2 linked regions of the Caenorhabditis elegans genome follow. The protein of the gene in region 2 interacts with the protein of the main gene of each other region in a biochemical or structural test. Each region holds a gene or a part of one and is shown on either strand. Other genes may lie near its edges.

Evidence for each region.
Region 1: of the proteins of lit-1 (region 2) and pop-1, one has a biochemical effect on the other in vitro, tested with the Caenorhabditis elegans proteins (4 studies listed by BioGRID).

What each region holds. Positions count from the first base shown.
Region 1 is NC_003279.8:2,827,268-2,832,185, forward strand, and holds the start of pop-1 (Protein pop-1), read right to left. Parts: upstream 3,045-4,918; 5' UTR 3,027-3,044; coding exon 2,852-3,026; intron 1,332-2,851; coding exon 1,213-1,331; intron 1-1,212. UniProt on the Caenorhabditis elegans protein: Transcription factor. Part of the Wnt signaling asymmetry pathway. Binds to the consensus sequence, 5'-(C/T)TTTG(A/T)(A/T)(G/C)-3'.
Region 2 is NC_003281.10:13,712,163-13,717,064, reverse strand, and holds the start of lit-1 (Serine/threonine kinase NLK), read right to left. Parts: upstream 3,021-4,902; coding exon 2,881-3,020; intron 2,508-2,880; coding exon 2,389-2,507; intron 1,568-2,388; coding exon 1,394-1,567; intron 1,316-1,393; coding exon 1,214-1,315; intron 1-1,213. UniProt on the Caenorhabditis elegans protein: Has a role in the Wnt signaling pathway controlling the asymmetry of cell divisions during embryogenesis. Operates in the AB and EMS cell lineages influencing cell specification.

The sequences.
Region 1 (4,918 bases), on a different chromosome or scaffold from region 2:
AAAACACGCAATTTTTTGGGAGTTAATGAGGCTTCTCCAACAAAAAAGAAGAAAAAACTGTTTTCGAGGAAATGCAACGAGTTTTTGGATTCAGAAGATAATAGATTCAGTTTTTCGGTGAAAATTTTGTAGAATTTCTCACGAATTTTTGGCTTCCCTCATAAAATGAAATGGAAGAGTTTTTGCCGAACTAGGTCATTTTGGCTCAGTAGATTTACGGCGCGTTGCGTGTCGCGTCGCGGCTCGATTTTAGTTGTAAAACTAAATGCACTTGTCCGTGTGGAGTACACGACTATCCCAGTCCGGCGGGCGATTGTCAATGGAGCGCGAAAAATTCAATGAGGAAGGCCAGAACCCCATGGCGGAAAGCCAAGAATTTTTGGATTTGGAAGACAATAAATTCAGTTTTTTAGTGGAAATTTTGTATTATTTCTGCTTTTTGGGGAAGAAAATTGTAGGAAGAATAAAAAATTAATACGGTTTTTTTTCTACAAAAATGGAGAAAAGCCCTAAAAATTCTTGAAATTGGGTAAAAATTTGAATTTTTTTTTTTTGGAATTTCTGCTTTTTTGGGGAAGAAATTGTTGGAAAAATGATTTTTAATAGGATTTTAAAGCAATTTTTTGCAAATTTCGACGATTTTTGATTCAAATTGAAGAATAAGCTCAAAAATACACAATTTTCCATATTTTTCAATAAAGCTTTCGATTTTAGGGTGTTTTTTCGCTTTTTTTAAATAATTTTTGGTGTAAATTCTTAAATTCCAAAAATATAGAGGCTCTCGAACCCTTTAAAAATTCAAAATACATAATTTTTCCCATTTCTTAGGCAATTTCTGGGCAAAATATTGAAATTGCAACTTTTAAAAGTATTTCTAATGCCTAGACTACATAATTTTTCTAATAAAATAGGGGGAATTGTCATAAAAAGGATTTTAAAGCGATTTTTCGTCGATTTTTGGGGGAAATCTTGAAATTTCAACTTTATAAGGTATTTATAACATATTCGAGGCCTAATATTCACCTTTGTTTTCAGATTTTTCAGTGAAAACTTCCAATTAAAGCCGATTTTTTGCCAATTTCGGTAATTTTTCGTTCAGAAGTATTTAACTTGTTAACTCTAAAATACAATTTTAAGTCGATTTTTGTCGATTTTCGCCAATTTTTATGTGTTTTAATTCAAATTTTTTCAATTTTCCAAGTAAAAAATCACCATAAATAGAGGCATAAACATGGGTAAAGCAGCTGCCGAGTATCCAGGACTGAAGTGTGACATTAAACCGGGAAACGATGGTGACATTGGTTCGACTTTTGGAAATGCACTTTTTAACACTGAAAATTTGATAATTATTCGGTTAGAATGGTTAAAAAAGAGCCAAATTTTTGATTTTCAACCGATTTTTTGGCAAATTTCACAATTTTTAGTCAAAATTCTTTAAAATCCAATTTTATAGGGTTAAAGATTTCATTTTTCCAGATTTTTTCATGAAAACTCCGATTTTAAAGAGATTTTTCGGTAATTTTCACAATTTTTAGTTAAAATTCTTCAAAACTCAATTTTATAGGGTTAATTATCTCATTTTTCCTTCAAAATTTCGATTTTTGAAAGCGATTTTTCGCAAATTTTCACAATTTTCAGTTAAAAATATTTTAAAATTCAACTTTTATAGTGATATCCGAGTTCAAAACCTCTCATTTTTTAGATTTTTCAATTGAAAATTCGATTTTAAAGCGATTTTTCGTAAAATTTTAAAAGGAATTTCTAGCACCTCTAAAGGCCTGAAATACATAATTTTTTAGATTTTTCCATTCACAGATCTCAAAAAAGGTCAATTTTTGGCGCCAAGTTCAAATTTCTCAGATCAATTTTGAATATTATCCAATTCTTAATCCTTTCGCACCCCTATACAGTCTATTGAGCACACACAGACGGACCAACTTGTTCAAGTACTCACGACGGATTAGCACACAAGATAACGGACCGAGATAGTATGGGATTCGGAGAGACGCAGATGGTGTTCGAACACCGTTGCGTAACATCCTTTTACGTCATTATGTCATTGCGTAAGGCCCGGGACCATCAGGTCAATTCTTAGGGGTGTTTTGAAATTAGCATGGATTTTTTTAATAGAAAATAGTGAAAACCGGAAAAAAAATTGGTTAAAAATGAGTAAATTTCATTTATAAAGTGTTAGAAATACTTTAAAATATAAAAAATGGCGAAAAATCGCTTTAAAATTGGTTGAAATTCAAAATAACACTGAAAATACTCAAATTTGTCAAAAAAAAATATTTTAGCGATTTTTAATTAATTTAAATTCCCGCGCTTTTGTCTCGATTTTGAACTCCGCCCATAAAACCGTGCCGCACTTTTGCACTTTTTAATTTCAACGTAAAGTCCAATTTTTGGGTTGTTTTTCTAGCTTTTAATGAATTTTTCGGCGATTTTTAAAACCTTTTTCTCCATTTAAAAACTGAAAAAAAACCCCCAAAATATGGATTTACGCTGAATTTGAAAAAAAAACAAAGTGCGGCACGGTTCTATGGGCGGAGTTTAGACAAAAAATGCGGGAATTTAAATAAGGTTTTTTTTTCAAATTTAATGATTTTTTTCTCTTTTTTTGGGATCAGTCTTAGCATTTAAAGTTTTTATTTAAATTATTTAAATTTAAATTTATATGTATTTTTTTAATATTTAATGTCCCTTTTTCCTGCAGAAATTTAGAAATTTAGAAGAATTTTCAAATATTTTTTTTGTGTAATAAAGTCGAAAGGCAATTGAGGTGGTCCATAAAATTTTGTGTGATAGCTGGCCACCTTCCCCTTTCGATCAAATTTATTGGAAAACTCACCATCAATCGATGGATTTCGACCGGCACCGTCTAATTCTGCTTCCATTACAGCTTCTTTTTTATCATCGGCTAACTGTTGTTCTGACGTTTCACCACTAATCATTGGATCATCGTCAGCATCCTCATCCCGACGGAACACCTTCACCTCATCGCCGAGCTCTTCGTCGGCCATCATTTTTGTGTATTTTTATATCTGGAAATTTAGAGCATTTTTTAACGATTTTAATGGGAAATTGACGGAAAAATGGAGGGAAAAGAAGCACGGAACCATTTAAAACAAGAAAAAAGGGGGACTAGGTCCGCGGAAGTTAGGCCATGGAGAGGGGAAAGACGCGGGAAATTTGAATTCGATAGGATTTTGGGGAGAAAGTGGAGGTTTAGACTTCTAAAATTGGAAAATGTTGAATTTTTATTGAATTAGAGATAAATTTTGACGACAAAATCGAAATTTTAGATGAAAAACTCAAGAAAAATCAGCAAAAACGGTGAAATTTGTTTTAATTTTAATTTAAAAAATACTTTTGTCCACCGTAACTTTTAAAGGCGCATGCCGCTTATTTTGGTGTGGGTCTCGACACGAATTTCGAACAAAATTACTTTTCTTTGCTTAAAAATGTCGAATTTGAGCTGTTTCGTTGAAAAAATAATTTGAAACGAGGAAATTTCGATGTGAAATATCTAGAAATTGATCGAAAACTTCGAAATTTGTTCAAAATTAAATTTTCAAGTATTTTTGTCTACCGTAACCTTTAAAGGCGCGTGCCATGTATTTCAATGTGGGTACCACCGCGAATAACAATATTTTTCGGCTTATTAATTTGTAATTTGAGTTTTTAAAAATAAAATCATAAATTTTAAACAAGGGAATTCCGAACAAAAAGGAGAAAATCATCAAAAATCTTTAAATTTGTTTAAAATTCGCATTTTTCGACATTTTTGTAAATATACCGTAGTCTTTAAAGGCGCATGCCATGTTTTTTGGCATGGGTGACACCACGATCAGACTTTAAATACCTTAAAATTACCTATTTTTGACGTAGAAAATTACTTTTTTGCTTATAAATCCGAAACGCGGGAATTTTAAATTAAAGAGCAGGAATCGATACGGTGAACAAAACACATCTGTCATTGGCAACAGATGGCCTAGCCGAAAACTAGGCCGCTACTCGCTCTACAAAATTCAAAAAGAATGACGGGAAAAAAAAGCGAAAAATGTTCGAATGAAGAAGTTCCTCCAATTATAAAATGCAAATAAACGTAGAACCCAGCAGGAGGTAGGAGGGAGGATAGTGGAACGAGGAAAACGAGGCGAAAAGGATCCATAAAATTCAAATAAATGACGGACCGGGGGACGTGAGAAGAAGGGGGGAAGAAGACAAGAGGCGGTTGGTGGTGGTGTATGCGCGCGCTGTCGGTAGTGCACCATGGCCCCCCGCTACACCAATTTCTCTGCGTCTCTCGCTTTCATCGCTCATCAAGGGGCCGCCCATGCTAAATGGTGTGTGAGAAGGCCCTGTGTGTGTGCGCAGGTGGCCGACAATAATAGCTGTAGAAGAGGTTAAAAGAGAGCATGGAACTTGAAGAGAGTGGAGGTTGAGTGAGAAAAAATAAAAATCAGATTGTCCTGAAAAAAACCATTTAAAAATTGATAAGAAGTGATTTTTGTGGGCATCGGTAATCGGTAACCCGGGGCGTCAATATATATTTTTTATCGAAGTGTTCATTTTCTTCGTTGTAACTCACCGGGAAAACCGTGAGAATTGGCGGAGAGATAGAGACACAGCGTGTTTTCATCTTTTTTTCTTTTTTCTAATTCTCCTTTCACTGTGAATGTGACCCCAGTCAGATAAAAGAGAAAACGGAAGGAGACAAATGGCAAAGACTATCCTAAATTAGAGGGAACACACCCTTTTTGGTAGCGAAATTGGTTGAAAATCAATAAAAATTAATAATTAATTCGAATTTTCCGAGAGGAGTACACGTTGCTTGAAGGGTACGGTATTTTTTTAAAATTTTTTAATAAATTTCTGAATAAAATCGATTTTTTTTTCGATTTCGAATAGTTCT
Region 2 (4,902 bases):
TCAAAAATTGCGTCACTAGCAATATAATCTGTGTATATGCGTTTTTCGACATATCTAGTGTTATGTTCGTCATAACGTGAATTTGTGTGTATGTGATCAACGGAGTTCACATGTTTGAGCGTCATAAATGAATCGTTAGTGAATTTCAGATTGATAAAGATATATCGAATAAAGATTAACTAAGTAGTGTTTAACTGGTTTTCATACTAAATTTCAGAAAAGAAAATAGGCATTTTTTATATATAATTTTCCGTTATTCAAAAAAAAATTAAAAGGAAGAATCGTTTTTCTATCAAGTAATTAATTGTTAAACGAACAATTTATAGGCCAATTTTTATTTCTACGCGGAAAAATGTCTGAAAAATTGACAATTAGTGTTCCAATTTAAATGGCAAAGAGTAAGAGCATCATAAAAATTTTTTTCACAATATTTTTTTTTGGAAATGATAGAAAATTCAGAACATTAAAAAAAACGGGTTTATTCGGAAAAAATGGCTCAAAAAAGCCGAACTTGATCTCTTTTTTAGTCATCATATTTCGCAATAAATGTCTTTCAGATTTCTGTTAGAAAATCGTAGTAGTTCTGAGAAGTGAGTCACGGTGAACTGAGAAAATTCTAAGAATTCCAGAATAAAAAAAACACCCCGAAGCTGATGACGGAGAGTAACAACAACAAAAAACATGTGCTTTAACAGAGAAAGCAGTCTTTTCTAGAAAGAGCGGAGTGTGTTCTTTGTAGGTCATTCAGGGGAGACAAGGACATTACGGTAGAGGAGATGGAAAATAAAGTAGTAGAAGGACTTGTGCACTTTGACAGGCAGCAACTGATTAAATTTGTAAAGACCGGCTAACAGAACTACACGTGAACTTTGAGATATTAAAAAGTAAACAAAAAGGGAAATGGTTCGAAAGTTTGTTAACAAATCAAGAAAATAGATTTTTACAAATATCATGATTCAAAAAAATTTTGTTGGGAATTTTGGTTTTTACAGAAAAATTTGAAACTATTGTTAAAATTAGTTTTTAGTTTTAAAAACCAGATTTTTGAGGCTTGAAAATTTTTCCCAATATTTTTTTTTATCTTTCAAAAATTTCATAAGTTAACTTTTAAAAAAAGGGAAATTGTTCCGTTCATTTTTTAATGTTTTTTTCCGGATTTTCGGTAATTATTTTTTAATTTTTTGTTTTCGTGAAAAAAAATCGGTCGACTCACCAACTAATTGCTGATGATGATGGTGAGCCTGCTGTTGCTGCTGCTGTTGAACCAAATTCTGAAGATGGTGGTGCAGAGCAAAGTGTGGTGGTTGTTGTATTACTGAAAAATTAAAAAAAACATTACTTTTTTATTGAAAAAAAAAACAATTTTCAACGTTTAAAACATTATTTAACAAACCGTCAGATCGTGGCACAACTGCTGAATAGTGTGGTTGTGCCGCTTGCGGCTGATGATGATTGTGATGGGTGGCGGCAGCGACGAGCTGGTACTGTACCGATGGGTGAAGCTGCTGGTGATGTTGATGGTGAGCGGCGACGGCGGCCAGCTGGTGTTCCGGTATTATTGGGATTGCTGAAACAATTCTTGATTAATTATTGAGTTTTTCGGAAAATCCTCTGAAATTGGCTAAAAATTAGACAATTTCATGTGAATTATATGAAGAGGTACTGAAAATTGTTGAAACTTTGTTTTTTTTAATGATAAATTTTACACATTTTTTAGCTAACAAAGCGAAGAAATTGAGCAGAAAAACAAAAATTCGAAACGAAAAAACAAAAACTTTTTTAGAATTTCTCCGATCGTGACGAGACCTACTGCAAGAGACAGTTTGGGCGCCTTTAAATCTTACAGTACTGAACTATTTGAAAATTCGTGTTTCGGGAGCAAACAATGGGGTTTGGAAATTTCGGTTAGAATGAACATTTTAAAATAAAAAATTTGTTTCAATTAAATATTAAAAAAAGATATCTTAGGCACGAAAATCGAGAAAATATTATAAAATGTATGATTTCTCGAATCGTGGTGGAACCCAGTACGAAACTAAAGGTATGCTCCTTTAAAGTTTACAGTACTTTTAATTAATTTTCATTTTTCGATCAATAATTCAACGGTTAGGTTTAAAAATTAATTATCCATTTTCCAAACTAGTTTAATTGTTTAAAAAGAAAATTTGTAGACAAATTGAACTGGATTATAAAAGCAAATCAACTCTAATTCTAATACAAAGATTAGCGAGCGTTATTTTTTTCACATGAATGAGCGAAAATCTCAATTTCTTAGCTTATTAAAAAAAACAATAGGGTCTCCCAACGAATTCCACAAAGTTCGTGGCGAGACACACATTTCCGGACATGTAAAACTCAATTTGTTTTAATTTTTCCACAAAAACACACCCTGACTGAGAATCTGTTGCTGTCGGGATATAAGTGCGGCGTGTGCAGCTGCAAGATCGTAGAGCTCTGTAGATGACGAACTACAGCCGGATGAACTGCTTGATCCTGGAATTTCTGGACTTGAAAAAAAGAAAGAAAAAAGAAAGAAGAAAAAAGAACATGAAAAAGTGAGGCGGAACTAGTGTTATTCATTCATGACGAGAGAGGACGCCTTCTTTTTTTTTTGTTTTTTTTCTAGAGAATTCTGAAAAAAAGGAGGAAATAGATGAAGAAGGAAATAAAAGTTGTTCTCCTCTCGGAAAACGAAATTGTGCCAAATTTATCAAGCCAACAAAAAAATTTCCAACAAAAAAACCAAAAATGGTTTAATAACGAAATTTTTCAATGTATTATTTTCAGGAGAACTGCCTATTTAAAATATTTTATGATTGACAAATTTAAGCAATACAGAGGCTCATAATGAACATTTTTTGTAAACATGTGAAAATTTACTCGGGGAAAAGGCACCCGCAGAATTCGTCCTCCGTGTCTTTCTGAGACGAGTAGAAGGAAAGTGAATCGTCATCATCTTCTTCTTGTTCTCGAGAAATATAGAGATAGTACGCATCCTTCCCCCTTCCCCACGACACCATCACCACCCAACACCGTCTTCCTCAATACGCGTCTACGATTCATCTCGGATCTGTAGGCGAGTGAGCGAGCGCGCACGCACCCCTCCACTGTGTGTGTGCTAACAGGACTGAGAAGAGAGACCTCACTACCTGTCGCCACCAGGCCCCCGGTACCATGTACGTTGAGGGTGATGACCCCGACCTCCCCAAGGACCGTCCCTCGGGATTTCGAAATTTTTTATTACTCTGTTACTTTTGGGGAACGGGAAAATAACAAGAACTTCTGATATGTTCTGATATGAGGATATGTGTGCGCCATGTGAAAAATTAGTTATATAAATTGCTAGCATATATCATTATGAAGACTAACTTCAGAATATCACATTAGAATTAGTAGTGGTTCAGACTTTTTCTGAATTCCCGGAAAAAGTGTCCGGGAATTGAGCAGAAAAGTACACATTTTCTAAAACGAGGCTCCTCGAAAGATAAGGACAACTAATTTGGAAACACCTTATTCTGGTACTTTTGGGGGCGGGGAGAGGACAAGGGAGTAAAGTAAAGCTGGAAAACAAGTGCTAGCATACAGAATAATGCGAAAAATTTACAATTTCATTGGCAAAAAATGAGGAAATGCAAATATCGAGGAAAATTATAAAAGTTCGTGGTGATTTGAAATAAAAAACCACTAAAGTACCAAAAAATTTGCCGTGGCAATATGGCAAAACTTTCAACAAAAAGCATACTGTATATATGAGAACGTTGACTACAGCTGATCGCGAGTAGCAAACTATGAGATGCACAAAGAGCAAGAGAGACGAGAGAGTGTGTGGCAAGGAAAACGGCCACCCAGCAGCAGCAGCAGTAGACAGACCCCCCCCCCCCCGCGAATTCGAATATTATGTAGCAGTGGTCACTTTCTATTCGAGATAGTCGGGCGAGACACAGAGAGCACGACGGCGTAGAGAGTGGTCAAGGGTGTGGAGACGCAGAGAGATACGGAACGCACTCTCATACATCTGACTGACCACTCAAACGGACGCAGAAGACCGAAAAGCTGCGAAGAAGAAGAAGCAGAGATGTGCTCCCCTAAGAACCAACTACTACTATTACTACGATGTACCCCATCCCCGTTTCATTTGGAATTTAAAATTTTCAACAGGGGTGTCTGTTGTTTGGCATGCTGACAGTTGGAGCAAGGATGTCGTTTTTGGCAACAAAAAATCGAAACTCTGATTCTCCAGAATGTTTGTTTTCTCAATTTGTGGTGCCCCTAATCGGAACTTTCTCTAAAAGCCGGGAATCTGATTCTCCAAGTTTTATGTTCGAAATTTCTGAGCCAAAACTCAAACAAAAAACTTGGGAAGTCTGAAATTTTGTAAAACTCGAAGAAAAAATCTAACAGATCCGGTTCTACAGATGTTGTAGTTCCTTTACATTGTGGGCTCTATCTACAAAATCTGATTTTTTGTTTTTTATGAAATATTTCATATGAAATGAAAATTTGATCCGAAAATAAGAAGGAAAATTAGCAAATTTGATTCTTAAAAATTTGCAACTCACTAGACTTCGTAAAGTTTCTAATTCCCAAATTTTTCTGACAAATTATCGAAAAATAACACTGGTGAATCTGACCCTTCGATTTTTTTATTTCTCTATTTTTGTAGGGCTACGATATAAAAACCAGTTTTTTTCCGAATTTTGATGAAAATTTGCTGTGAACTCTAACTTCATACTTACTAGTTCGAACGAATAAAATTCCTGGAATCCTAAAAAGCATCAGAAAAGACAAATCTTGAAAGTTTCCGAGTGAAATAAAAAGTTCGAAGAAAAGCCATAACACACACACACCCACATACATATATATCCAGAAGACGGCTATATATGTGGTTGTTGTTGTTATTGG